Arabidopsis thaliana: one gene and its partners. The protein of the gene in region 2 interacts with the protein of the main gene of each other region in a pairwise test. Each region holds a gene or a part of one and is shown on either strand. Other genes may lie near its edges.

Region 1 (7,841 bases), on a different chromosome or scaffold from region 2:
TTAGTGACGTTCTCATTAATAATCATACTATAAAACTTGAATCAATCCGACATTAGAAGAGTCGATAAAGATCAAAGACTAGAGTTATCTTATTTTTATATTTTATTTGTTAAACTCTATTTTTGCTTTAAGAAAAGAATATCCTAATTAAGTGTAAATGAATGTACGGCCAACAAAAGATTTGAAGGGGCAAGATGGCTCTTGGGTCCTCACCTTACTCGAAGAATGATCACACAAAACCCTAAGAACCACAAAAAATGTAGACCAAGCTAAGTCTTATGATCATCTATATTAATAACAAAATCAATCGTTAGAAATTAGATAGTGATATTGATCCACAAGAAACTTATTCGATAAACTCTTGAATAGCAAAAGACTTGAGAAAACTAAAAGCAAGAAACAAACAATTGAGATTGTTTTTTAAAGAGGTTCATATACAAAATCTCTGGGGATAATCGGGACATGATGACATTCAGTTACAAAAATTTCCAAATATGTGTTGTAGAAATTAATATATCACTTTTTTTTCTTTTTTTGAATCATTGTAATGTAAAATTTATTAAAAAGTCTTTGGTTACAATATATGCAGCTTTAAGCATAACGTTTTTTGAGTTTCAGAAAATTAATATATCACTTTGTATAGTAATGTACGAAAAAATTCATCAAGAACTATGTACGGTTACATATCAAGATGTTATGGTCTAATGTGTGTTTACCGGTTGATAAAATGTTATTTGGTAGCTAATATTCAGCTAACCCTAGTTTTTGTTTTATTTGAGAGTCAGATAATCATGTATATATAACTTTTGCAAAAATAAAAATTGAAATAATGAGAAAATATTACTTTACTATTATCATTCATATATATATAACACACCAAAAAAAAAATCATATATATATATATATATATCCAAAAACAAATCACTTACTTAATTCTGTATTTTATCCAGAATCATTATGAATTAACACACCAAAAAAAAATCATATATATATATATATATATATCCAAAAAAAATCACTTACTTAATTCTGTATTTTATCCAGAATCATTATGAATACCAACTTGATTTTGATGGTCTTAATTAATTATTTGATATTCTATTTTTTTGTCGTTATTTGATATTCTATTTAGATTGACTAGTTTTCTTGTGATCATTTGATAATCCACGTCGTTTTGTTTTCACCTTCAAATTTTTTTATTGATCACCATGTTTTTTGGAATACACAAAGTAGTAAATGTTTCATAATCATGTGAGACCTAGGGTTTTAATTTTCAACTTGATTATTTAAGTTTAGTTATTCCTTACTAATTTAACTACCATTTTCTTGACATTCATACCAAAGACAAATAATTAACTAAAGTTTTGTTCGTTTTCGGAAGAAAAGTTTAAGAAAACATCAAGTGGACTCACACACACCGACTTAAGTGGAGAAGGTGATGAAAGTATTGGGCCCATAAGAAACTGCGGCTGCTCGTGGCTTTTGGCATTAAACACGAATCTTGCTAATGTTATTTTATTCTCATTATACTTGATGGATTCATGTTTATCCATCCATATTGTTATATTGTATTCCCCAAATTTTTAAAAAGCGAATTCGTCTAGTATAGTTAGCTCCATAGTTTAAAAGTAGAAAAAGAAATTTAGCTCCATAAATTTTGTAACTCATGATTAGACACTAATTAGATGTAAAAAACAGACGAGATTGAACGAATGATGATACCCGGTTGTTGATAAAACTTGAAATGGTCAGAACTAAAAACTTATATTTTTCAAAAATAACATAAAGAGTCCGGTGGTCGGAAAAGGAAAGGAGAGTGACGTGGACCACAAGCAATTGTTTGCCCACTAGTGACTGGCTGGTCGAAAGTATATTTAAAATATGTCCCACTTCATAAGATCTTCAAATCACTTCTTCTGTTCCAACAACAATCCATTCTCATTTCAACGTTTCAAAAGCAAACATGTTATTGGTCAATTTCATTGTTTCTACGCCATCATCCATAGAGCAACAATACCTTGTTGTTTTTATTAAACAAAATGTGAAGAAGAATAGAAGAACAATAAAAAAAGAGTGCTTTTGAAGATTCCACGAAGGTATGAAGTGTGACATAAACGGCTCTTTGCGTCGTCCAAAAGCCGCCTCCCCCAAAAGCTTTCCCTTTATAACCCCAACTTTTTGGGTTCAACCCAACTACATGCATTATATAATGCATATCTACTCTATACATACAATTACTTATATTATGTAATGCACCTTGTTTAATCTTTTTTAGAGTTTGTATTCATCCGGAGAATGTGTGGTAGACTAATCTTAAACATAGAAAGAAACACATGAAGATGTACATATGCCATTGAGAGTGTTGCGAAGAAGACCGTTGCAGTACTAGTATAGGATAATTTGAGATATCACAAAAAGATCATCACATCTCGAGGAATACGTACTATTGTGTTATACTATTACTAGGTATCATTAAACCATTGAATAACAAATGTAGTATCGAAAGACAATAAACCTGGAGATAATAAATGCTAATATTTTGTTTTGCGAGTAGTAATCAAGATGATTATCAAAATAGCAAGTTGTGTATGATTGTGTGTACATTACAACATGTTGGTCCTTAAAGAATCGAAATATGTTGGGTGCGAAGACTTTGCCGGTGCTTTGGATTTGGAGAGATGTATATTTTGACTCCGATTCGTGATTATTATTATTAATGTTGAATATGTCGATAAAAACAAATAATTTAGTAGCTAATAAGTATTGATTTATCGTACACATTATCATTGTTATCTTTTAATTTGAATTCGATGAGAATGATGATTAATTGATTATGAACTAAAAATAAAATAGTACACCACCGACGAATTATATCATTATTCTCTATTACTTTGGATAATTTCTCATAATTAAAGAGAGAAATAAATCACGTAATTTGCTACATTTCACAAAATATTAAGGGCTATTAATCCAAAAAAGGCCACAACAAAAAGTTACTCGAAATTACATTTTTAACCCTCATAACAAAAACGACGCCGTTCAAGCGAAGAGATTGAGCAACTTTGTCGTTGCTCCTCCTCCTCCTCCGCCGCAGCGTACGTACCGATCACCGGCGTTGTTGTTTTGAAACGAAACCGTGGTAACAGACTCCTCCGAGTACATCGACGGTGTATCTTCCTTAAACGGCAAGGTTTTAATCGGATAAATAGGAATAAGAGAGAGATCAAGCTCCGACGAAGGTTGTTGTTCCGACGATAATCGTTTCCGTTTCGGCGGAGAAGCTGTTGATCTTGATCTAGATCTAGAGCTTGAGAATCGGCAGTGATGATAAATGTTCCGATCACCGGAATCATCAGCTTTTCGTAGATTCAACATTTCCGTACAGATCTCCGAAGCTTCGTCGGAAGTAGGAGACGGAAACCCGGCGAATCCACCGCCGTTAAGAAGCTCCGGTATTGGTTTTAAAGAACCACCACGAAGCACCGTCTCAACCGCCGCTTGACAAACATTCCAATTCCCCGTCCACAACAATCCGACGGCTCCGTTCACCGGATTCACAGTTCTCCCACAAGCTTCGTATAGCAAAGACTGAAACAAAGCTGTAAAAAGACCAAATACCCTTACCATCAGAAACCAAAACGACAACGTTTAGACGAAGATCTAAAGGACCGAGAGGTTTTTGTTTTTAAGTACCAGGGCATTGAGATTCCGGTACGGCGGAGATGAAAGACATTAAACCGGCACGGCCGAAGAACTTAGCGACGAAGACGGTGGCGTGGCCTTGAGCTTCAGGTGATTCGATCCATTGAATACATGGACGGAGGATGCAATTCTCACTGCAACCTTTTCGTAGAACTCGACAACCATTGCAACTCATTATTTTCAGAAATCTTTTAAGTTAGTATTTTATCTTTGGTTTTGCTATAATCTTGGAGATTCAAAAAGCTTTTGGTACAAGAAAGAGAAAGAGAGAGAGTGGGACAAAGTGTTTCAATGTTTGGTTGAAGAAGAAGAGTTATGTAATATTTATAGACAATAGACATTGATACTTGAGTGAAGGAATGGGTCATGGCTTTGAGATTTTATTATATTTTAATAAAAATTGGATAATAATCAAAGTTTAAAGAGCCCTACCAAATTACAAAATAGAATGATTGCTACAAAATATATTTATTTTATCATTAACTGAATTTAATTTATGCTATAGTTTATACAAAAAAAAATGTTATGTTAGGTTTAATTATGAAAGTTAAAAATGGTGTGTGGTTGTTGACTAGTTGGTGATGAGGAGAGAGGAAGAAAGAGAGATTCCAAGGTGATGGGTGCGAACGGCTCCGTGTCCCCGCGAATAGTTGCCTCCTCAACCATTGGTTCTTTTTTTCTTTCTTTATAAATTTCTCATTTCTATTCTTTTTCATATTCTTTACTTGCTTCATTTCTATATAAATGTTTGCGTCATGCATGAACGATCTCGATTATTTGATGGCAGATCTCAATTCTATCTATCCAGTGTTTATTCGTTGACAAATTTTTCGAATCTTCATGTCTCAAACAAAAATCAGTGTGATTAACATATATTATCGATTATCGGTGTAAAGAAAAGAAAAAAACCTAGCTTCTCATCTAACAACAACAAAAAAAACACATAGATTCTCAAATGAAATAACGCACTTCAATTTCAAAATTGAGATTTATAACTAATTAGATCATATTCTCTCTAGTTCGCTATTATTTGTTGAGCTATATAAGTGCCTCTCTTAAACTATTGGTCTCTATGAGTTTTATAAATATAGATATGGTTCATTCGTTCATGCAGTACGTATACTTTGTAAACAATTTATTTATGAAACCAATGAGATTGTTTTGTTTAGGGTTAAGGCTAAGCTGACCCTTCAACGAAACAAATCCACTACCTGACCCTTAAATCAACCTTAAGGGTTTTGATAATTTAATATGAAAAATGTTTTAGAAGAAAGATAGAGGCGTTTTTTTGCCTACGATGCTGTCTCACGTGTGTGACCAAATCAAACATTTCTTTTCTCCTTTACATTAGCTAGTAACAAAATCAAATATATGATGAACAGAAGATCTACAACAAAATGATATTAATAAGTCAAAGTGTCTTCTTCTACTTTCCTATAGCAATGCGGTGAAACGGCGCCGTTCATGGCTTACGTGGTGTGCTTACCTACACTCCAATTAGGCAAATTTTCCACTGAATGCCGCCGTCTCTTTATATTTCTTTATTCCCAATTACTTCAGTCCATTAGTAATTTAAAAATGCATTATTGTTTCGTTGAACTTCTGGTACCTAAAGTTCATTTGCTTAATTAGTCGACACAAGACACTTGAACGCGACAGTTTTGATCAACAACGACATAAAATTGGTGTTAAACAGATGCTTAGATGTTCGATAAATCAACTACTTATTTTTACAACGGTATTCCTATTTTAAATATCAATCTTATAACATAATTTCAATCTCAATTTTTGAAAATTAGTATTGTTTTGTGGCCCTTCTTCCAAAAATTTATTTTCTGAAGTGAATGCAACAAGATAGATTTTACCTTTATATATTTAGTAAAATCAATGTTATAAAATAGATTATAAGTTAGACGTACGGCAGAACACAATAGAAAAAATATTATATATACTTCAATGTTTATGATGTACAGTGGGAAGTCATATTGCATACAATAGAAAAACCAAAACTATTTCTTTGAAAACAGAACAAAAACAATGTATGAGACTTGTAAACTATTGAGAAGAAATGAAAGAAATTGTCAAATAGAGGTTGCACAAATTGCATTCCTACTTACATTCATTGATGTTCATTATATTATGCTATAAAACCTAATTACATGGTTAGATAAGGTGGGTTTGTGGACTTGTATTTCATGAGTCTATGGACTTGTGTTGGGCTTTAACATGTCCTCTTTCACGTTGAGTTCTAAATGATTAAATACTGGGCTGTTAATTGGGATATAATTTCTCAGCTATAAGAGCCGGTACACTATGTCACTATGGGCTCTACTGCATTTTTCGTATGGTCCAAAGTCCAAACAATGAGTCTTTGGTAAATTAATAGTTTAACACCACTTTAACGGTACCATGCCAAAACTAATTTGGATGTTATTGTAACGCTCGAGGGCCTTATTAGGCCTTATTACAAGCTAATAAGCTATATACTATGCCCACAAAAATTGGTGAAATTCTTTAGTTTCTAAGTTTCTAGCAATATAAGAAGACAATAGTACAAAGAGAATGAATGACCAAATCTTACAGACTTATAACACAAGCATTAGGTTATAGCCTAATAGGTAATGTAAGATGTAAGTATAAGCAGTAAGCTGCACGACATATTTTCCGTCTTATTTAGCAAGGTATTATTATTATTTTTTCCCACACCATTTTAGATTTAAAATTTTTGCTTTTGTCTTTTCAAAGCCAAATCTTAATTTGACGAAAAGTTTATACCGAACCGCATAATATCACATATATAAACAACATTTTTAAGGGATGAGTTTTCTGAACTCTAAATAAAAATCGGTTGACAAGAAAAAAACAAATCTTAAAATAATTCCAAAAATTCTTAACCATCAGATACTACAATATAGTTATAAAGAATAATTATAAGTCAATTTTTTGTGCCACCAAAAAAACAATATTTTCCCGGCATTTAATTCAGAAAATACCCAATATCCATATTTTTCTCGGAATGTATAACTACTCTTTTTCTTAGAAGATACATAAGAACTGGGATCGATTAAGACGTGTAAGATATTTATCGTAACAAATTATACAATTAATTAATTATTAAAAGACTCGTAAAACTCGTGAAAACGAAATAATACAGAATTATAAAAATAATTTAAGCGTGGAGGGAAGTGTGAGTGCCAACCAATCAAAGTCGACAAGCCACTTAAGGATTAGCTTCGTTAGGTACTACTAACCGATCTATCACTACTTCAATAATTAATACTAACATAACCCAAAATTAATACTATTTCTCCTATCAAATTATGTTTTTAAATAGAAATCTGAAATGTTTAATCAAATAGTTAAATTCTTAGGAACAGATCACTTCAAGCTGGGAGTGACAGATTCAAAGAAGTGGTTCCTTTGCTTGCGGAAATAGTAAATGAAAAATTAATCAAGTAATGAAGAAAAACAACAGTAGGAAGTTTCCATGAAATAGTAGTTTTCAATTTTCATTAATCCAATTCTTTTTATTATTAACAAAATTAATAATAATTTCAAATATATCCTTTTTTTTTTTTACTTTTTATAAACAAAAACCAACAACGAATAAACATTTGAAGATTATTTTCTTTCCATATACGTAAACAGAAATTAAAATAATCCAAAGTCCACTCCAATCATTTTCATTACAGACTCAGCTAATGATCAACCACTAGCTAATCCCGATCGGTAAAAAATAATAATAATCACAACACCGACTTTGTTTCTTCACCGGAGAGTTGACTTTTTCCAATTGTCTCATCACTAACTTGATCAGCCGGTAAATTTAGGTCAAACTTGTGGCTATTGTCACCGTTACTGTTACCGTTACCACCATCATAGTGACAACGTTTGTGACCACCCAATGCTTGACCAGAGGGAAACGACTTAAAACATATAGAGCAGTTATGAGTCTTCCCACTTTGACCAACTAAACCGTTACTAATATTTCCGTTATTAGTAACGGTTCCGTTACTATTATTAACATCGACACTAACCGGTTTCCGGTGACTTGTTTTGTGTCCACCTAACGCTTGGTAAGACGGGAAAGATTTGCCACAGACGGAACACTTGTAATCTTTCTGATGATCGGACAGTGG
Region 2 (8,173 bases):
TTACTGAGTCAGGAGCAGTTCGTGCGGCTCTGGATTGTGTTGACTCTTGTAATCAGGTTTTACAAGAAAAGTCTCTGTCTTTGCTTTTGAATCTTAGTTTAGAAGATGATAACAAAGTTGGTTTAGTCGCTGATGGAGTGATAAGACGGATTGTTACTGTTTTACGAGTCGGGTCACCGGATTGTAAAGCGATTGCTGCTACTCTGTTAACGAGTTTAGCTGTTGTTGAAGTGAATAAAGCTACTATTGGATCATATCCTGATGCAATCTCTGCTCTTGTTTCTCTTCTCCGGGTAGGGAATGATAGGGAGAGAAAGGAATCAGCTACGGCTCTTTACGCTCTTTGCTCGTTTCCCGATAATCGGAAACGGGTTGTGGATTGTGGGTCGGTGCCTATTTTGGTTGAAGCTGCTGATTCAGGGTTAGAGAGAGCAGTGGAAGTGTTGGGACTTTTGGTTAAGTGTAGAGGAGGAAGAGAAGAGATGAGTAAAGTAAGTGGTTTTGTTGAGGTTTTGGTTAACGTTTTGAGGAATGGGAATTTGAAAGGGATTCAGTATTCTCTGTTTATCCTCAATTGCTTGTGTTGTTGTAGCGGAGAGATAGTTGATGAGGTTAAGAGAGAAGGTGTTGTAGAGATATGCTTTGGTTTTGAGGATAATGAGAGTGAGAAAATCAGAAGGAATGCTACTATCTTAGTTCATACTTTACTTGGGATTCCAATGAGTTCATGATTTTGGGAGTGTGAGGAAATGGATGTTGAAAGGATCGGGGCTTTGTCTTCGGTGGCGGTTTTGGTGTTGATAGTTGTTGTGGTTTTGTTTATCTGGTCTGGATATGGAGGTAAGTGTGGGTGATCTCTGTGTTGGATTTTCGACTTGTAGTGTTCATGTACAAAAGAAAGGAAGAACAAAACAAAGACTTACGTTTTCAACAAAGCAAAATGCAAATGCTTTTTTTTTGTTTTCTCTGTACATTATAGTAATAAAAGGATCATACATAATAGTTTTCTTCAAGTGTTTCAAAATGTTCATCATCAAGAGAATTGTAATCTTTACATTTCCAAAGCATTTAATTAATCCCTTCTCTGTTGAATCTTAACCCTTTGTTACAAGTGTTCTTGTCCGCGAAATCATCTCAAATCGTCAAGCCTAACATTTTCTCCCATGCTTTTACATGAAAAGCCATTAGTAATAGCATTTTATTTATACTGTTTGCTAGTTGAATCACATTCAGAAATAATTTGAGAATTTTGATTGATCAATTTGGTTGAAGCATTCATGGCTAGAAGAAAATAATATTCCGGATCTTTCTTTTGCTTTATTCTCCAAAGAAATGTGATGATTCCATAAGACAAACCTGTCTTTTTTACTACAATAGTCACTGGGACAAACCAGTAACTGTACTTTATGATTCCATGTCTACTCGATTTAGGTTTTTGTTTTCAATTCAGTTGTGGCGTGCTCGTACCAAAAGCACATGGTCTCTGTTGAATTCTCTCCACAATGATTTAATGTTCCTTCACAAAAAGATGGGTTATTTGTTTTTTTTTTAACACTCGTGCTCTTTTTTTTATAGAAAACAGTGCTGAAATATCACTGCTTTATGTTTCTTATTCAATCATATGCCTTGATTTGAGGACACACAAACAAAACAAGACAGAGTCGTGTGTAGCCTTTGAGTACTATGAAAAGAGCTGCTTTATTAAAGTGATTGTTTTTCTAATTAAAGATCTCCTTAATGGAGATATTAATTACCTAATTTATAGTTGACAAAAAATCATCTAATTTGTCTTCCTAATCCTTTTTAAAAATCCACAATATTCTATATACCTTTATAAGATTCTGACTGTGACTGGTATTATTACAGAGTGTGGAAATTAAATAATGTGTAGTGGAATCACGATATTGTGAGAATAAATCATTAAATTAAGACCAATTTTTTTAAAAATTTTTTGTCTTTAATATGACAGAATAAGTGGTTTACCAAAAAATAAAAAAATAACAGAAAAAGTGAACATACTCAATAAAATAGTATTGATTGATAAAACAGCAAAAAAAGAAACACAAATTATCTAATCTTTCGGCCATTCCACGAAGTAGGCTCTAAATTTGTAGGAAGTAATGGAACGAGACATCACATTTTATACACAAATTAACACCAGACTTTACAGTTCTTAGAACAAAACTAATCTATGAGTTTTCATGTGTAATGTACTAATGTTACATTTTTGATTCAGTATAAGAGTCTAATTCCACAAACTAGATGTGTCCAAATGCTGCGGAGGAGTGGAGAAAGTACTTGAGATCGGCATCAGACAAAGACCGCGGCTTCGAAGATCTTGTCTTGGACTACAATTTTGATTATGAGTATTATTGCTTGATTTGTCTGACCACTAGAAATTGAAAGAATCTTATTAATGATCATAAGCAAAAGAACAAAAATCAAACTACTTAATTGATTTTAGATTATAGAGTTGTTTAACCGTTAACTAAGTTAAGTACCTGCTTCTGTTCACCAGATCCTATAGAGTTCAGGTGTGGACTAGTAGAGACCTTTTCCTATTTAAATGATTATAAAAAGAATAAATATAACAGTTAACTAAAACCAACAATTAATTAGTAGTAGTATTTCATATTTGAGAGATTATCAACTTACAGTGATTTGTTCTTGTAGAAACTTGATGTAATCTATAGCATCATGGAGGACAGAAGCAGTGTCTGTCTGTAAAAATCATCACAAAATAATAATAAATAAATTTGAAAACAGAAGTAGCTAAAAAAATTTCGTAATTATGTATGGATAATATATAGTAGAGATATCAATATAACAGATCATGAATTCATGATGAACACAAACCTTGCCAAAGGGTGAAACTAACTGTTGAAGCGCGGTAATTCGATCTCCGAGTTTCTCTTTACGAACCTTATCAATCAAAATAGTTTTTGGAAAAATATCAGCAATAGTTTGTGCATGGGTATGTGTTTCTTAGCATAACTAACTTTTTTTAGTGATAAATGACAATCCTTGAAAACTGTAGTAAGATCATTTGTTACTAACTTTGAAGCTCGGAAAATGAGATGGTGTCTCAAGTCTTGGCCTTTTTAATGGCTGTGATGACTCAATATCTTCGAGTTCTCCACTTTTCTCACTTGCTCTCTAAAAATAATTGGTCACAATGTCAAAATCTACAGAAATATTGTAAAATATCTCTATTAAAAGAAACTAATTAAATAGATTTGCCCACCTTGCATGTAGTCAGACTCTTGCAAGCTTGCATGTCTTCCTTGGGTTTTTGGTGATCAAATACTGATATCATTCTTGATTCGTTCGGGAAAACGTCATCAAAGAAGTGAAAGCTTTCGAATAGTTCTGGTTTGGGACAGTTAGGAACCAATAATTGCTCACTAGAATCAAACAATCCTTCTAGAAAACTATTTATCTGATTGTATCGTTCTTCTTCATGGCTGGTAAAAAAGAGAAAAGAAAAAGAATGTCAGGATTCAGGAACAAAGATCATGATTTTACGTTATACGTCACGTAAGATGATAAATGGACTTACATGTTAGATGGACTCGAAACGTAGATTTGTGATGTGGTATCAAGATTTGCATTGCCTAAGAATGTGGAAGTACTAAGGTAGTTCTCGTTGTAAGTTTTGGCATCAAGGGTATCAATGTTTTGCCATTCAATCTCACCAAAATCGACAACAATCTCCGCGGAACGTGGCAGAGAACAGCCTGAGAACATGCCGTTGGAGGAGCTCCACCATGTTCCGGTACAAACTCCCGTAGTGTCGAATTCTTCTGTCATGTTTTGTTGGTTACGTAGACAATGGTTTAGTTTGTGTAGACTTATTTCTTCGTAAGTGTCAGAGTTTGCATGAGACAGTAATGATGTTGATGATGGGGATTGTATTTATATGTAGCGATGAGGTTTAAGTCAACTAACAAAGTTATAATATTTGTTAAAAAAAAGTTTTGTACAAGAGTTTTATATGTTATTGGTACTTCCCTAATTAATCTATTAATTATTTAGATAATGTATGTTTATCAGAGTAGTCGATAGGAAGTTAGGTCAAGCAAATTAAGTAATTAAAAGATGACAAATTTTTTTTACCAACGTACGTACAATGTAAAGTTTAGTTTTGATTTTGGTTAATCAAATAAAAACTTTGATGTACATGTGAGTTTGTGAGTTGTGACCCTATCTTCTCAAACATTGTAAAACAGAGTTAATTTCTTACTATCATCATAATTACTACTTTTCTTACTCTTTGATATGGGATGGTAATACTAAAATGTTTGATATATGTTGAAGTATATATATTTATTTATTTATTTTTATGTGTTGAACGCAGTTGAAGTATTAACTTGTCAAGGGGAAAAAAGTAATAAAATTTTAGTTAAACAAATAATGTGAATATATTTTTAATTAAGTCATCGTACGGATATGGTATTTATTTTACTTGCAAATTGTATATTTGTATAGCAATGCATATTTATTAACTACTGTTTTGGGGGTTTACTGATTCAAATAATTAAAAACAAAAATGACGTCACAGTTATATATGTCAATATAGAAAGAATATGTTTGTCGTCCAAAAAATAATCTCATTTTTGGGATGGTCGATGAATACGTACAAGGAAAAGAAAGTCAGCGTTACCAAATCCATCGCAAAAGGGTAGTTGTTGGCTGGCCTCGTTTTGATCTATACGACTCCGGACGTCTTTTGTTTGTACACAGTTACGTGCGCATATCTGACCTACGTGTCGACTCTTTAAAAAAAAATGTAAAAACTTCAAACAAATATGGATTTACATTGTAAACAAATTTTTTTTGAAATATATGGATTTAGATCAATCTTGCTCTTTGGAGAAAATAGCTTATTGGTTTTGCTTCAAGCCTCTCCAAATGATATCATAACTTATAGGAATTAGGATTACACTTAATTGAGTTTCATTGTGCTTTATATATGGATATGACAACAAAAAGAGAGTTATCGAAATAAGTTTTTTTTCCCTAATTGAACAGAAAATATAAATTAATACAACTATTTGAAAAGAAGTAGTTAATAAGACGTATACCATATATGCATTCACCAAAGAATGAAGACTTTCTTTAATTATAATTTTTGTTTTGTAATGGACATGATTAAAATATATATTTTTACTTTCTGAAATTTATTAAAATGAATTGTTGATATTCGGATATAATCACTAACAAACAACTGTATAAATGTATAAATGGATTAAGTCAGACCGTCCCCTCCAATCCATTTGGGTTATTTTAGGTTTGATCTTTAAATTTAGAAAGATTCCCAAAATATGTGCTCATGTCATATGGTTTGACTCAGCAAATTATTTTAATATTTTTAGTCAATAGATATATTAAATATTTGTAGACTTCGAGTGACTTAGGTTACAGTACACCAACTTCAATAAGAAGAATTTAACCAAGTAAATTATTAATTAATCAACCTTCACTGGTTTTTCTGTTTATATACAATTTAACTTGTTTTCATACGATTTGAGTTCAATAGAATTTTAAGACCAACATTCTTAAGACTATATAGAGATTGTTGATTTGATTCATTTGACATGAGGAAACGGTCCATCGTTTTATTTCATTGAGAGTGGAAACTATAAATTATTTTATATTGTTAATCAAATATGTCGTGGAGTAGGGAAAGTCAGAGATGATAAAGGTATATTATTATTTTTATAAAAAAATAGTTAATAGGTTAGGAAAATGTCTTTTGATTTTGGCTCTATTGAATAGTTTTGATATTTGAATAAAAAAACTTAGGTTTCTACCAACTTCCAACCTTACACAAATGAACATCACTATTCACTACTCACCATTTGGATGGTTGAAATTAAATGGGCTCAACTTGAGAATGGCCCATTTAAGAGCTAATTCATTCTAAGCCCATTTTAAAAAGAAACCCCCATTGCTCGGATCCTAGAGATAATATCTAGTGTTTTCTTTCTTTGACCTCAAACAGAGGATCATGAACATTTTGCAGCAACATATATGAAGACAAGAAGAAGCTCATTGGCTTGTAACACAAACTCTTTTTCATCTGAATCATATCATATTTAAAATGGAACAACAATGTAATAAAAACCAATGGAAATGTTATTAGATCAAGAAATTTCCAAGATGTATATAATTAATACTTATGGATTGCTTCTCATAACTTCCAAAAGAAAATCTTTTGTCTGTTCAACATCACAGAGTTCCTGTGTCTGAACAGAGGCACTAATAAGAATTGCTCCATTTGAAGTTGTTAGACTAATATCGATAATCTCGAATCCGAGAAATCTCATAACCTCCATGAATTTAGTAAAGATCCCATCTCTCTTCTCTGTTATGATCTTTAACCAAAACTTCCTCTCCCCAATCTTACACAATTGCACATTCTCCTGTCCCAAAAATAAAAAATCATCAAGAAAGATAAAGAAAATGAATCAAAAATCGATTAGAGAAATTTTAAAAACCTCGATTCCGAGTTTCTTCATCTCTTCGTTAAGATCACTAGTTTCAACTTCAGGTTTTATCATTGGATCCGTTTGTTCTTCATCAATCTCAGGAGGAGCTTCTTCCATTTCATGAAATGTCTCTAAGAGATTCTTAACATTGTTTTGAAGCTCTCCTATGTAAGTAATCGCATCTTCAACAATACTTGCTTTAGTCATCTGAAAACGAAACAAAAACAACAACAATCATCACCAAAATACCCATAAAATAATAATCGAGATTTGGGACTTACGTTGGTGACAATGGGGACATGAGATCGCAGAGCCATAAGCCGACAATGAAGCTTCTCTCTTCTACGTCTCTCTGCTTCAAGATTTGGAGATTTGAAGTTTTCATCTTCTTCCTTCTCTTTTGTTACTTGTTTCCTACGGCTCATCCTCACTGGTTCTTGAAATCTGCTTCCTCCACCCATTTATTTCTTCTTCTTTGATAATTTTTCAGACAAAAGTGTTTATATTCTTATTTATGTAATGGTGGTAAAAGACATGAGTTATATAGTTGCTTCTCATGTAGATAGAAGTCTGTTAGTGGAGAGAGAATAAAAGAGAGAATCTTAGTCTCAGTTTGTTATTAAGTGAATGTGATTTCAGTTAGAGTCAAATACAGAGACTAAAATAACAATTTTTGTTTTCATTATAGAGAGAAAAAACAATTTATGACGAATTGAGGAATCTTCTTATTCAAGGGTTCAAAACACGAATCCTTACAGACAAAGGAATGGTAACATTTCGAGTCCCATCAGTCCAAGTGAAACTACCAAAGAAAAAACCAGTGTTACTCTTATGACTCGACGAAACCCTAACTTTAAACCCAAGTTTCTTCGTGTTCGAACAGAACACTAGAGTCTCTGGTTCAACAACAATCTCCACACCTCGCGGAGGCTCGACCACGGCTCTGTAAACTGAGTCCACAGGTCCAACGTTAGTCACCGTTCTTGTGACGGTCACTTCTTCTTCAAGGTCGGGAATCGTGATGGCGGGATAGTTAAGATCGAGGATAGACGGTAATGGAGACGAGCATTTTGTGGGTTTTCCCGTGATTATAGTGATTGATGTATCGTTGTAACCAGTGGCGCAGAAATAGTGAATGTAATCGTCGATGTTCATGTCATAAACTAGTCCTGGATCTTTGGCTCTTTCCGCGTTCACGAGTCCTGCACCGTAGTCAAATGGATCAGCCAGTTTCCGTGGTTCTCCCTCCGCAAAGATTGGTTCCCCGGATGGATCAGTCTTCCATGCTATAATAACAAGAGAAGAAACTCTGGTAAGATTAAATTAACGAATGGTGGTTTTCTGGTGAGGAGAAGAAAGTGGTTTTCCATTTTCAAGAACCTGTAGTCATAATAGCAGATTTTAGCGCAGCAGGAGACCAGTCAGGGTGTAAAGCTTTGAGTAGTACGACGAGCCCCGCAACAACGGGAGTGGCATAGGATGTCCCTGTGCCTAGAAAATAACCGCCGAAAGAATCGGGGTAGGCTTGAGATGTAGCTCCTAAAATCGTCACACCAGGGGCTGCTATATCAGGCTGCATCATTTATAAACCCAAAGAAATTTCCATCATTAACAGGTGATCCTTAAATTGGAAACGACAGACAAGATTTTGAAACACTGTTTAGGGAAAGAACCTTGAGAAT
Region 3 (8,295 bases), about 11 Mb from region 2:
CTAGTTTTATCGCATTATACTGAAAATATTATAATTTAAAGAGTACGGATTGAATGATGATAAAAAAAAAGTGGTTTAAGGTTTTAAACAGAAGAAGGCGCAGTATTAAAATAAATAAATAAAAATAGATTTTATTACTGTTATTCTATCATTCCGACAAAGTTCCGATTAATATGTAATTGTCGAATTTTTTTTATTTTTCTAACGGATTTTTGATAAAGTATTGTTTTCGGAATTTCGTCAGAATCCCGTCAAAAAAAATTCAACCAAACATTTCTTTGAAAATTTTTGTTGGAAATGGTTATGTTTTCTTGTAGTATATTAACTATTGTAGTGTTATAAGTTTTATCGCAGAGATATAAAAAAAAAACAATTACCCTACTTTTTTTGTAATCCTTATATCTCATTTTTGTACAAAAGGAACTCTTGTAGACATCTGCTAAAAATTATCAGAAAGAAAAAAAAATGTTACAAGAAAACATTATTACCAGTAAATTGCCAATACAAATATTCAAACTATCAGTTTTGTTTGCAACCCTACTTCCTAGATTTATAAGATGCGAGATTAATATTCAACTTGCTACAACCTCGTATTATATAATTTTTGACAGTAACTAATACACTCTGTGTTTTTTTATAATTATGATATTACTTTTTTTGAAATAAAATTGAGAAACAAAACTGTGAAGGGGACGGGGAATCAAGCATTTGACCTCATCGACAAATCGACATAAGGATTTGAGTTTTCACCTTTTGTTGTTCCAACTTCTTTTCGTTTTAGTTGTCCAAAACGGCCTAGTTTCATAATATGTTAGATAAAATACATGGTGTTATATGGTCAAATATTGTGGAAGACTAGCTACAGTAGAAACTCTATAAATTAATACTCGATAAATTAATAAACACGATAAATTAATAAATTTTACCGGTCCCAAGTCGGGCCAATGTAAAAAGTAACCAAAATCGATAAGATAATAAGATAATATTTTTTTTGAAATCCCTATATAAAATTATAGTCCCAATAATATTATAAATTAATAATCATAGATCTTAAGTATATATTTTAAGACTAATTAATTTTTATATGAAATTTTTGTTCAAAGTACAATTACAACTCTTTTTAAAATATAACTGGTATGATCTCTGTTGTACTCACATAACTATTTGCGTATTTGATCTGTCATAGTTGATTTTGTAAAATCTTTTATTTGAAAAAGCATTGCTAAGATTTGTGTAAATAAAAATTGGATTAAACTTCATGTTTACGTTTACGTTCACGTTAATGTCGTGGATATACAAACACAATATATTTTGAAAAATAAATTTAAAAAGTCAAAGAAAAATAAAAAACTAACATAATTATATATACAAACAACAAAGCATATAGAAAATTAATTAAAAACATTTTAAAAAGAATATAGTATTGTATTTTACATAAATATTTTTATAAATTAATATTTATTAACTTATACGATAAATTAATAAATATTAATTTATAGGATAAATTAATATCACTATAAATTAATAAAATTTCATGGTCCCAACATTATTAATTTATAGAGTTTCTACTGTATATGGTTGAGTGACTTATATGATAATCTTGCAATTTTTTTAATGTGGAGAGTAGATTTACAAAAATATTAGATTTTAAAATTTGTTTTGCAATTTTCTCTTTACTAATCTTAGGTCCAACCAAACCATTTCAAGTCATTTTCTTGTTATCTGTAATACATTATATATCTAAAAACTTCAAAATTAATTTGATTAGTTTGCTTAACTAACAGAAAATATTGAATGATACATTTATTACAGATGAAATAATGAATTTTTATTTGTGGCCAATTGCATAATGGATGTGAGATTGTATAGACATATTTAACTTGTCAACTCTACATGCCTTCTGGAAACAAGTCAAATCGAATAAAGTAAACTGAGAGACAATTCATGGAATTGATCTAAACACAAGTGGGTAAACCCATTACCATTTTCCTCGCTCGTCTAAATTCCTATATGTTCTCATTTACTAGTATCGTATCTTCTTTTTTTTTTCTTAAACAAACTAGTACCGTATCTTCGGTTATATGGATGGTACATAGAACTATAAATTGTAAAATCATATTCTACATACTTACTTTGACGATAAATAAGTGCTATTTCGGGTCTAATGTTACACGTAGGGAACTACCTAAGAAAATGTGGTTCGCGTGTCTAATGCAAACTGATTTCCATTCGAACCTATAATGGCTGAAGAAATAGCTATCCACATATGATATGTTGATAATGATATATATTATAGATATTCTTGTGTTTAGCTAAGTAATATATAAAAATTTACTCCACTTTTTTCTCAATTGGTATGTGACATGCTCTTATTGGGTGGATAATGTACTAGACAAAACTTGTAATTTTTTTTTTCTTTATCTATAATAATATAAAAACATTTTGTGTGTTATATTTTCATACATCTATTTTCCTTTCTTCATAATTCGTTTGGCCTATTTTTCAAATGTAGTCTATTCAATTTTATTAGGTTGCATGTGAGTTTTGGACTCACTTATGCATGGTACAAAATCCAAGTTCTTAAAAGACTTTGAGGTAGAATAAAAATCTGTAGTTTGGGAGAAGGAAACAAAAATAAAAAGGTAAATTTCTTTTGGGGGAGAGTACTGTTGTTTGCCCTACAGACCAAGGCACTGAAATCGAGTTGGTATTATTAGGATACTTAACGTTTGGCACCCATGGCCTTGGCCTTGGCCATGTGCATTGTTCGTCCTCTTCTTAAAGGGTACTATTGTCATTCTTAATTTTTATAGCACTAAGTCAACACACCATATTGGGAAATACTTAAAGACCCATAATGTACTTGTTCTAGCTCGATTAAAAGAGAAAAAACAAAGTAAATGAAAAGTTGAAGTAAAAGACATGAAAACCCTTTTTGGATTGGAGAAAACTAATTCTCTAAAGATAGAAAAGAAAAAGAGGAAGAAGCAAGAGAGGCTTGGTCTTCTTTTCTGATCCTGAAACTGTCTTAATAAGAGTGAGAAGTACTGTTCATGGAAGACGTGTCCCCACCAAACAAAACTGTCTTCACTGCCCTCTTCAATAATACTTTTACGGGACCCCTCCTAGTCCCAACGCACAATCTCATTGTGTCTATACAGAGTTATATTATATATATACACTTAATTTCTAATAGTTGTAGCAAAACATATGGTAAGAAAATGAAATAAATACGGTTAATATATTATTATTTTTTGGTCAAAACGGTTAATATATATGTAACACCAATGAAGCCAACATATCCAAACACAGAAGAAGATTTTTGGATGATGATTTAAACATGTATATATGTTAGTGTGAATCTTCAAAGTTTCTGTTTAAGTAGAATTATTTTTATAGATAAAGTATTTTATATGTTTTTTGGTCGAGCCAAATATCGAATTCCTTCATCAAAGTCTATCGAATTCCTTATATTTACCAAAGTAAAATTCGTTAAGAACAAAAATCAAAGAGTATTGTCCCGAAAGAAAATTATTTTGAAGGCCCAAAGAGGACAAGGTCATAAATATTTGATCTGGAGGACAGGACACCCACGTATATTTTTGTCCAAAATTTAGGTTAAAAAAAGAAGAAGAAAGGTTATCTGTTTCACGGATTAAATATTTAATTAATAATACATACATATATTACTGTATGTGTGCGTGTAAAATACTAAATATCGACGACTATATATATAACTAGATAATTTAGCTATAGTATAGTATTTTTATTTTTCACCCTTGGTTTTTTTATACATATATGCACCGAACCTCTTCTTCTTCTCTTCCTCGTCTTCTCTCCTTTTATATATGTGGAAAACTGCATTTATTAAGAACAGTTTAGAAAGTGTCAACCCCTAAAGGAATGTTTTTAGTTTAGAGGAAAGAGAGAGAAGAAGAAGCAGCAGCAGAAGTTGTTAATTTGAAGACTATTTGAGGAAAGACACCTATATCTAAATACTCAAAGTTACAAAAATATTACTTCAGAAAACAGTTCCATTAGAGAGACTCATAAAGCTTCTCATGTAAGCCTCTCTTGTAATTTATTCTCATATACAGAATACTGTTTTGTGCATTTACTCTTCTTCTTCCTCCTCCTTTCATATGATTAACATTCAATGCAAAATTCTTGTAAATTCATTTTACAATAGCTTATCCAAATTCTGCTACTTTTATTATTGTTTCCTCTCGCTGCGACATTCTTTATTTCTCATCATTTAATGTTCTCTCCTCGTACATCCTCTTTGTTCTGTCTTAAGAATTCACCTACCAAACCATTTATTTCTCATACCCACTTTAAGATTTAGTAGATTTTTGTTTTCTTGTCAAAATGGTATCCTAAAACTAATCTCTCTTGTTTTTTTCTTTGTTGAAGCTAATTATGAGTGGATTGATGAGTTTTGGTGAATTAGAAGACCAATTTGGTCAGATTTCAGACACTACTATGGAAGAGAAGATACCATTTCTGCAAATGCTTCAATGCATAGAACACCCTTTTACAACAACAGAACCAAATCAGTTTCTCCAATCACTTCTCCAGATCCAAACCCTAGAATCAAAGAGCTGTCTCACCCTTGAAACAAACATCAAAAGAGATCCGGGTCAAACAGATGACCCGGAAAAGGATCCAAGAACAGAAAACGGAGCAGTAACGGTCAAAGAAAAAAGAAAACGGAAACGTACAAGAGCTCCAAAGAACAAAGACGAAGTTGAAAACCAAAGGATGACTCACATTGCCGTCGAACGTAATCGAAGACGACAAATGAACGAACACTTAAACTCTCTCCGATCTCTCATGCCTCCTTCGTTTCTTCAACGGGTAACAAAATGTTTTAAGGGTTCATTAAACAAGAACGTAATTTTTTTTTCTTTTCAAGAACGTAATTTAGCTTTAACAAGAAAACGTTTTTGTTTCTCTAGGGTGACCAAGCTTCGATTGTAGGAGGGGCAATAGATTTCATCAAGGAACTAGAGCAACTCTTGCAATCTCTAGAAGCTGAGAAACGAAAGGATGGAACTGATGAAACTCCTAAAACGGCGTCGTGTTCTTCATCTTCGTCTCTTGCATGCACTAACTCTTCTATTTCTAGCGTGTCTACGACGTCGGAAAATGGATTTACGGCGAGATTCGGCGGTGGAGATACGACAGAAGTGGAGGCTACGGTGATACAGAACCATGTGAGCTTAAAAGTTCGGTGTAAGAGAGGAAAACGACAGATCTTAAAAGCTATTGTCTCGATTGAAGAACTAAAGCTTGCGATTCTACATCTCACTATCTCTTCTTCCTTTGACTTTGTCATCTACTCTTTCAATCTCAAGGTAATTTTCTTAATCATCTCTTAAACTATCAGTTTCAATTTCCACTAGTTTAAGCATTATTATAAATAGTCTTATGTAACTAGCAATTTTTGACTTTTTGAGGAAAATTAAGGAATCTTCATTTTGAAATGTTTGGTACTTAAGAAAATTAAAATGCATGAGAAACCATAATAGAAAATATCTACAATTATGTGTGTGTGTGTGTATTTTTTTCCTTCACTCTAAGCTTAGAAAATTTTAGTTTAATTTTTTAGTAAGTTGCTAATTTTTGTTTAGTTTTGGAGAGATGAGAAATGAATGGTGTTGTGCATGCAGATGGAAGATGGTTGTAAATTAGGATCAGCAGATGAGATAGCGACAGCCGTTCATCAGATCTTCGAGCAAATCAACGGTGAAGTCATGTGGTCAAATCTTAGTCGAACTTAGTTGACTTTTGACTCCTAGTAACGTGTGTAAACTTTAGGTTACAAAGAAAAGGGACGTGATATAAATAAGAAAAACCAAAGAGGTGAAATTTTGGGAGTTTTAATTATTATCTTATACTTTTTGGATTTTAGATTAGTAGCAAACTCGCAGTGTTCTACGATGACATTATTATTGGTCACATGAAGGTTTAGGTTATTATTGCCTGTAATTTTTGAATATAAACTAACCTATGAGTTCAGTTTGACCCCGAAAACGAAAAAAGTTAACCATGAGTAATATTTACTTCCATTTATAAATGTTTCCCACTTAGTAATAATGTTAAGAAATTGACTTTAGACGTCCGTATTAGAATGGTTACGGAAATGGAAACAAATACAATTAAAGATGAAACATCATTATTACTAAGAAGAAGTCGCCTTCACACTTCGCAACCTCTTTTTATATTTTGCATATACGTTTTATTAATACTCTCATATCGTCCATGCGTCTGACAAATCTACGCTTGATAAAAAAGGTACAGCTACAACATAAATTTAAAGGTATTCTTTTGCATCAACGTCTACTGACTAAAAATACTTGTTTATTGTATAATGACTCTAGTTTTACTTTTAACAACGAAGAGAAAGGTGGCAGAATTTTTTTAATATTCCAATGGTAAAAAAGCATCGTAAAAGGAAGCCTATGGTCAGAGTCTCATTGACACATCGGTCTCGCTTGTAATACGTAAAACTCAGCCTATCTCACTCACATTACTTTTTTCGAAATTTTAATTCATATATCGGTTTCCGCATATATTTAACTTTTGTATTCAAAGCTTATTAAAAAATCGGGAAAAATCTAAACATCATAAGCAAAACAAATCCGATCAATATGTTTAAATTCTGTAATACAAGAACAATATAAACAAAAACATATTATTCAGAAAGCAATGATACATTATTTGAATATTGTGTGTAAGAGTGAACGACAAGATCATACGTCAGAGATAATCGACTGGTAACAACTCTGATCTTTTCCAACTTTTGGTCAAAGTCAAACCATTTGGTCATTTTTACAGTAAATTATTGAGTAATATGTCATTTACTCATTTCTTTTGAGGAAAACTCTTTTTTTATCAGAAAACAAAAACAAATTACTCATTTTCGTTTTGGGCTCAAGACAAAAGTCCTTCTTTTAAAAATATTAGCCCAGTTAATCTATACAGGCCCATTAAAGCCCATACTAAAAGAGCCGAGCGTTCCACCGCGTGAGATTGACGTGCGTGTATTTACGCGTTAATGTTTCGCGTGGTATTTGTTTATTTGAATAAAGATTCCTTAGCTTTATTCTTAGTAGGTCCTCATGAGTCATATTCGTGAAATTGAGGTTTTTGAACGAACTCGGGGCTTTGATTCGAAGTCGAAAGTTTTGATTTTATATTGTGATTTCTAAGTCGAAGGATGTGTTACTTTGGTGTTTTTTTTATTTGATTTTTTAAAAAGAATATTTGATAGTTGTAAAGAGTTTTTGTATATGTTTAATTTTTAAATAGAGAAATGGTCAACGTAGCACAATTAACTTGTAATAGAGAATTGCTCAACGTAGCACAATTAGTGTAGATCTTTAAAATTAAATCATCGAGCGAATTTTAGAATTCTCCCAAATAGTTGTTATCTGCAAATGTCATGTTATTTACAATTCTTGATACATAAAATAGTTAGTTTTCCATGTGGTAAAAACAATAAAACATACGACCAATCGACCATTGACATAACTCTTCTAAATCCACGATGAGTTATATATATAAACTTATAATACTAATCACAATTATTGTTATTGAGGAATATACATCGTGAGTATCATCAAATCTCGTCATCGCACTTTGCTTGAACGTGCAAGAAACTTGGAAACGCGTTTAGAGCAAACACCGGGACACCGAAGTACCGTTTATTGAATTCCTTTTTTTGTGTGTGTTGTTCAATACTTAAATCGACTAAAAAATCATTAGCCTAAGATTCACATATCAGAACGTGCTTGGGCCAAAAATAAAATAAAGAACGTGCATGGACCAACCAACCATATATATATCTTCATAGTATTATTGATAATGGCGGGTCCCATTATGTTTGATATATTTTCAGTTTTCACCATGGAAGCATAATCTCAAGAATATGCCTCCAATAAAATTCGTTTGTACATGAATTCCTTAAGTATGGCAGAATACTACGTATACCCCACATAATAGTTTAATCTAATTTAAATTAGTGTAAATTTTCCACCAATCAATTTATTAATTACTTAAAACAACAAAAGTAGTGAAAAACAATTAAAAACACATATCTCCCTCAAAATACCCATAGTAGGCTACAACTGTAGATTTCTTGTTTCACAAGACACAAGAAAAAAAAACCTAACTTAGAAATCATTAGAAGGAAGTGGTTCATGTCCATTACTACCGATAAAGATAGTATCATAAACAATAGCTGCAATGGCTGCACCGATAAAAGGACCAACCCAATAGACCCAATGATTC

The links. The genes of interacting proteins can lie anywhere in the genome.
Region 1: the proteins of B70 (region 2) and LBD38 interact in a two-hybrid assay, tested with the Arabidopsis thaliana proteins (one large-scale study listed by BioGRID).
Region 3: the proteins of B70 (region 2) and AT4G01460 interact in a two-hybrid assay, tested with the Arabidopsis thaliana proteins (one large-scale study listed by BioGRID).

The regions. Positions count from the first base shown.
Region 1 is NC_003074.8:18,510,501-18,518,341, reverse strand, and holds LBD38 (LOB domain-containing protein 38), read right to left. Parts: upstream 4,077-7,841; 5' UTR 3,878-4,076; coding exon 3,694-3,877; intron 3,600-3,693; coding exon 3,040-3,599; 3' UTR 2,211-3,039; downstream 1-2,210. Other genes in the region: AT3G49930 (C2H2 and C2HC zinc fingers superfamily protein), read right to left, coding at 7,449-7,841.
Region 2 is NC_003075.7:11,348,701-11,356,873, reverse strand, and holds B70 (basic helix-loop-helix (bHLH) DNA-binding superfamily protein), read right to left. Parts: upstream 3,917-8,173; 5' UTR 3,811-3,916; coding exon 3,560-3,810; intron 3,465-3,559; coding exon 3,245-3,464; intron 3,157-3,244; coding exon 3,058-3,156; intron 2,923-3,057; coding exon 2,857-2,922; intron 2,722-2,856; coding exon 2,656-2,721; intron 2,559-2,655; coding exon 2,502-2,558; intron 2,393-2,501; coding exon 2,246-2,392; 3' UTR 2,050-2,245; downstream 1-2,049. Other genes in the region: PUB8 (plant U-box 8), read left to right, coding at 1-731; DYT1 (basic helix-loop-helix (bHLH) DNA-binding superfamily protein), read right to left, coding at 6,180-6,425, 6,501-6,698, 6,773-6,952.
Region 3 is NC_003075.7:616,915-625,209, forward strand, and holds AT4G01460 (basic helix-loop-helix (bHLH) DNA-binding superfamily protein), read left to right. Parts: upstream 1-3,776; 5' UTR 3,777-4,063; exon of another isoform or gene 4,064-4,413; 5' UTR 4,414-4,419; coding exon 4,420-4,857; intron 4,858-4,958; coding exon 4,959-5,357; intron 5,358-5,672; coding exon 5,673-5,783; 3' UTR 5,784-6,085; downstream 6,086-8,295. Other genes in the region: TIP1;3 (tonoplast intrinsic protein 1;3), read right to left, coding at 8,178-8,295.